Yarrowia lipolytica: one gene and its partner. The protein of the gene in region 2 purifies or fractionates together with the protein of the main gene of each other region. This does not show direct contact. Links are inferred from orthologs where the notes say so. Each region holds a gene or a part of one and is shown on either strand. Other genes may lie near its edges.

Region 1 (2,225 bases), on a different chromosome or scaffold from region 2:
CTTGGATTCCTGGCGTTTGCTCACAACGACTCTTTTTACACCTCTCTCGGCTTCTTCAGCAACGACCGACCCGCCGCCTACCTGTTCAACACCCTTTATCTGCAGGTCATCAGCCCCATCCAGTACGGTGTCACCTTCCTGATGAACGGCATGTCTCGAAAGAACGAGTTTGAGGCCGACCAGTTCTCCAAGGACCTTGGCTATGGCGATGCTCTGGCCAAGAGTCTGATCACCATCCACCAGGAGAACCTCAGCAACTACGACGGCGATTGGCTGTACAACTCGTACCACCGATCCCATCCTCTGCTGCTGGAGCGACTTGAGGCGATTGGCTACAAGCCCAAGGCTCAATAAGTGCGCACTGTCGCACGGACTGAAGGAGATGTATAGTATGTAGTATAGTATAGTAAATAGTGATTCAACCGAATTATTGAAGAATGTAAAGTACAAGTAGTGGAGATTCTTTTAGGTCGACTCGACCGGAGGTTCTGGTATCCTCACATGTTTACTTCCTCTCATGGTTGTTCGGACGTTGTTCTCACTTCTTTTACAGCATGGTAGATAGAGTCGGAAACACTCGAACTACGTTCTCGTATTTCGTCCTGATGATAAATAGGCGCTAATGCATTTTCATTTTTATGTAAAGTACAACCACTAAACACTCTAGTTGACAAGAGCGGAAGCAGTGGCGGACTCGTACTTCCAGGTGGGGGGCAGAACACCAACAGACTTGTAGTATCGGGCAAGTCGGTGGATTCGAGACTCGATGAGAATGAGTCGGAACTTGGAGTCGGCGTCCTTTCGGTTCTTGTCGAGGTGCTTTCGCACAGACACAGCCTTCTTGATAAGGTGGTAGAGATCCTCGGGAATCTCGGGGGCAAGGCCTCTCTGTCAGCAGTGTTCAAAATGTGTAATTTCTCAAACAACCAATCAGAGGTTCTGGTTACCTGTGTGGAGACAAATGGTGTCGTCTGCAGTAATCACACTGTTTGACGAGTACTATGTTCTTCCACGATTCTACATGTTGTAGCGTTGACTAAAGTGAGTAGTATGAGTTGCACGAAAGAGACGTACAACACATCAAAACTTGCACTTTCGTTAAACGGAGTTAACTTGAAGAAGGTCTTTGACGAGCAGTAGCGGATGGTCATATCCATTTGAGCTCGGCAAAAACCATTCAACCCGTTTTGTTCCATTTCCAACAGGACCACAACCTCTGTGTTAATACCAATAACCATTAATACTCACCGTTGGACTTCAGGATTCGCAGAATCTTGTTACCAGTGGCAACCTTGACCTGGGAGACACCGTGGGAGTCTCGCAGGAGGACACCAATCTGAGAGGGGGTAAGACCCTTTCGAGCGTACTTGATGATCTGCTCAACGACAGCGTCGGGGGTGAGCTTGAACCAAGAAGGAGCGTTTCGAGAGTAGGGGATGGCGGAGGCGCTCATTCCCTTTCCTTTGCTGTGCATTCGACCCATTTTTGATTAGTTTGTTGTGGAGATGGTGAAAGTGAAAAGTTCAGCTGGGTTTTTACCACCGTGGTTGGGAGAGGTGTGAGTGGAAGAGTGTGACTGTCTTTCCCGATTGGGACAGTCATGTGAAAAGTTTATTGGTAGTATTGGGAGATGCACGTGAGCAGAGGAAAAAAGGGGATGACTAAAAAGCTTAATTTATACTATGTCATGAATATAATTCAGGAGATAAAAAATAAAATAAAAAAATCGTGTGAAAAGTCCAAGCCACAGGAGGAAGGGTAACAGATATGAGTGGTGGGAAATAAAAATGGGTGGTGATCTATGGTATAGTTGAGGACAAGTTACGAATGTTGCAAAAAAGTTGAGATCTTGGCCAACATCCAGATATGACTACAGGTGAAGAGTATATACTTCAACACATCCACAGAGATCGGTAGAGACTATAGTGTAGACAAGTCAGCAATGAGAACAATATATACGACAAGAGTAGGGGCACCTGTCACAAATACAGTATGTACTACAGTGTACTGTACATACTTGTAATATGTACACTATGATCCAGACTCTTGCATAAGCCTGTTCATACATGCATCGAACTGTAGCTACCAGACACCCCCGTACAAGTAATCTGTCCCTCAACATAGACAGTTGCAATAGTATCTTCTTATAGATACAATCACCACATCCTGTATGCTTTCACACTGCTGTTTTTAGCCCTTTTTAGAGTCTTTGGCAACTGTCTCAC
Region 2 (3,763 bases):
GGAAATCGTCTAGTCAGCTCGAGACAAACCCAACGACACCCCGAACGGCCACATTATCTCCTCCGGGTCCGAACATGTCGCGCGGAATCTTGGGCGTCGCAGTTCTCCTGCACGTATACGGCAATCTGTAAACCTTATTTCCAACATGAGCCGAGGTACAACAACAGCAACAGTGGATATTGTGGTCTCAATGTTGCTCGAAATCACTAGATATCAAAGCTGGAAGTTTCTGGAACAATAATTAGTCTCCAGGATAAATTTCACGTTATCAGCTTTCGAACTAAAAAAGTTAGACCATCGTCTAAACTTAGCAGTGATGGAAGTCTACAATACCGATTTTGGGGACCTGATAGTGGTCGGAGAAAGATAAAAATGCCACCATTGAACTCTCCGCAAGCCAGGGAGTATTTTGATATAATTATATAAGCCATAAAGCCACTGGATCAAAAACTACCAGACTCCTAATTCCACACAACCATCCCAGACTAATGTCGCTAGTGGGGACCCTGAACGTGATTGCAAAAGGGCGTGGCGGAGAAGAGATGAATCACGGGACTTGAACAAGGAGTCGAGAGCTTTTTTCTCTGCGAGTCTGATGGTTCTTTTAGAATTCCTATGCGTCCATTATTCGTCGAGTTGGTCTTGACCGGTTCACTATTGGATGGGGCTAGAGTACTGATCCAGCAAGATCCATCTATATCCACGAATAGTGCTCCGATTGGACTCGGAAGAGGGTCATTATGTTTCTATGGTTGGCGGGATCAATACTACGATTGTTTCCGTTGATGTCATTGGCTATTTGTACTGTGTTTATGCGATCATTGGTTAGTGGTCCTACAGAGTCCATTCACAGTGGCCAGTGCGATCCAAACATGTTCACAATCACCACAAATGTAATTCAAACGTATCATGTCGTTGAGAATCATCCGGAGACCACAAAATGAGGTACATCTTTCCCATTTCTCTTTTCTACCAACCACAACGAGTGACTTCAATTCACGCTCATTTATTTCGATTTATTTAAATAAGATTTTTCACTGAAAAATATTGCCACTCTGACTCTTCCGGCCCAACATTGCAACGACAACTCCCACAGAAAATCCAAACATATCATTTTGTTCGTCTCGACGAGAGTAACGCAATGATACCCTTCAACTCTCTCCGACGTGCTCCCCCCTCAGGCACAGATTATGACCTCTTCCGCCCTCCCCCAAACCTTGTTTAAAAAAAATCGAAATCGTGCATATTTTTTCTACTCACACAACTCCACCCAGACAACAGAACCACCTAGACACATTTCCCGTACTACACAGACATGAAGGCGGACTACAAATTTTCGAATCTGTTGGGGACCGTGTATCGGCAGGGAAACCTGGTGTTTACGCCTGACGGCACGGCGCTGCTTTCGCCGGTGGGCAACCGGGTGTCGTATTTCGATCTGGTGAAGAACACCTCCTTCACGTTCCCGTACGAGCACCGGCGCAACATCACGTGCATTGCTCTGAATGCGCAGGGCTCGCTGATGCTGACAGTGTCGGACGACGGCAAGGCGATTCTGGTCAACTTCAAGCGACGGACGGTGATCCATCATTTCAATTTCCGCGACGTGGTGTCGGACGTTCAATTTTCGCCGGACTCGCAGTACTTTGCCATCAACATTGGTGCGCGGCTGGAGGTGTGGGCGATCCCCAGCGACACAAACAGCCGCTCGTTTGCGCCGTTTGTGCGCCACAAGCGCTACGAGGGCCATTTTGCCGAGATCACGTCGATTACGTGGTCCGACGACTCGCGGTTCTTTCTGACCACGTCCAAGGACTTGACGTGCCGCGTGTGGTCGCTGATGGATAAGGACTCGGGCGCCGCAGCAACGCTGGGCGGTCATCGAGACACCATCACCAACGCCTTCTTTTCGCAGGACCAGGAGACCATCTACACGGTATCCAAGGACGGCGCCTGTTTCGAGTGGGCGTATGACGATAACGACGACGGTGACGACGGCTTTGTGGGGTGGAAAATCAAAGACCGGCACTACTTCCACCAGCAGTCGGTGCTCAAGTGCTCGGCGTTCCACGCCAAATCGAACATTCTGGTGGTGGGGTTTGCCAACGGCACCTTTGCCATGTACGAGCTGCCGTCCATGACGCAGATCCAGACCATGTCCGTGTCTCAGCACGGCATTGACTTTGTTACCATCAACTCCACGGGAGAGTGGATGGCGCTGGGCGCGAGCAAGCTGGGCCAGCTGCTGGTGTGGGAGTGGCAATCCGAGTCGTACATTCTCAAGCAGCAGGGCCACTTTGACTCTATGAACTCCCTCGTGTACTCTCCGGACGGCAGCAAGGTGGTAACCGCGTCGGAGGACGGCAAAATCAAGCTGTGGGACACCTCGTCGGGGTTCTGCCTGGTCACGTTCACCGAGCACTCGGCAGCGGTCACCGCCCTGGAGTTCTCCCGCAAGGGCAACGTGTTGTTTTCGGCGTCCTTGGACGGCTCCGTGCGCGCCTGGGATCTCATTCGGTACCGCAACTTCCGCACCTTTGCTGCCCCCGAGCGAGTCCAGTTTTCGTCCCTGGCCGTGGACCCCTCCGGCGAGGTGGTGTGCGCTGGCTCGCTGGACAACTTTGACATCTACGTGTGGAGTGTGCAGACAAGCCAATTGCTGGACACGCTGGCCGGACACGAGGGTCCCGTCTCGTGTCTGTCTTTTGGCGCCGAAATCGCCAACGCGTCAATTCTGGCCTCCGCGTCGTGGGACCACACGGTGCGGGTGTGGAACATTTTTGCGCGTACGCAGACGGTGGAGCCGTTCCAGCTCACGTCGGACGTGCTCCAGGTGGTGATGCGGCCCGACTCCAAGCAGCTGTCGGTGTCCACACTCAACGGCGAAATCTCCGTGTGGGACATTGAGGAGGGCAAGCAGGTGGGTAGCATTGATGGAGCCAAGGACATTAGCGGTGGGCGGCACTCGTCGGACCGGTTCTCTGCCAAAAACTCGGCGCGCTCCAAGTACTTTACCTGCATGACCTACTCCGCCGACGGCAAGTGTCTGATTGCCGGCGGCAACTCGCGGTTCATTTGCCTGTACGACGTGCAGTCGGGCGTCTTGCTCAAGCGGTTCGAGGTGTCGCGAAATATGTCTCTGGAGGGCACTCTAGACTACCTCAACTCAAAGAACATGACCGAGGCCGGCGCTCTGAATCTGATCAACGACCCAGACGGGTCCGACTGGGAGGACCGCGTGGACGACACTCTTCCGGGCGTGGTTCGCGGCGACAAGTCCAAACGACGCACCCGGCCCGAGATTCGTACCACCGGCATCAAGTTCTCGCCCACCGGTCGCCAGTTTGCTGCAGCCTCCACCGAGGGTCTGCTCATGTACTCCATCGACGACGAGCTCATGTTCGATCCCTTTGATCTGGACGTGGACGTGACTCCCCAGACCACGATGGAGGCGCTGGAAAACAAGGAGTATCTGATTGCGCTGGTCATGGCCCATCGACTGAACGTTCCGCGGCTCATTCAGCGTGTCTACGAGTCCATTCCCGTCGACACCATTGAGCGGGTCGCGCGGGGACTTCCGGTCGTCTATCTCGAAAGGTTTCTGCGATTCCTGGCCTCTGCAACTGAGGCTACTCCCCATGCCGAGTTCCATCTGCGGTGGATCAAGGCCGTGATTACCGCGCATGGGCGGCACATGGCCCAGCGCAAGCACGAGTACGCCCAGGTGTTGCGGGCGGTGCAGAAGTTTGTCACCCGGGTCAAC

What was found. Proteins that work in one complex are often made in the same cells at the same time.
Region 1: the proteins of YALI1_B01839g (region 2) and YALI1_F14712g purify together in Saccharomyces cerevisiae (affinity purification with mass spectrometry, with the first as the bait; 3 studies listed by BioGRID). This does not show direct contact. The link is inferred for Yarrowia lipolytica from reciprocal best matches to the Saccharomyces cerevisiae genes PWP2 and RPS13.

The regions. Positions count from the first base shown.
Region 1 is NC_090775.1:1,470,365-1,472,589, forward strand, and holds YALI1_F14712g (40S ribosomal protein uS15), read right to left. Parts: upstream 1,484-2,225; coding exon 1,249-1,483; intron 885-1,248; coding exon 664-884; downstream 1-663. Other genes in the region: YALI1_F14688g (uncharacterized protein), read left to right, coding at 1-354. UniProt on the Saccharomyces cerevisiae protein: Component of the ribosome, a large ribonucleoprotein complex responsible for the synthesis of proteins in the cell.
Region 2 is NC_090771.1:182,637-186,399, forward strand, and holds the start of YALI1_B01839g (uncharacterized protein), read left to right. Parts: upstream 1-1,315; coding exon 1,316-3,763. Other genes in the region: YALI1_B01826g (uncharacterized protein), read right to left, coding at 30-147. UniProt on the Saccharomyces cerevisiae protein: Required for bud-site selection and cell separation. Also involved in nucleolar processing of pre-18S ribosomal RNA.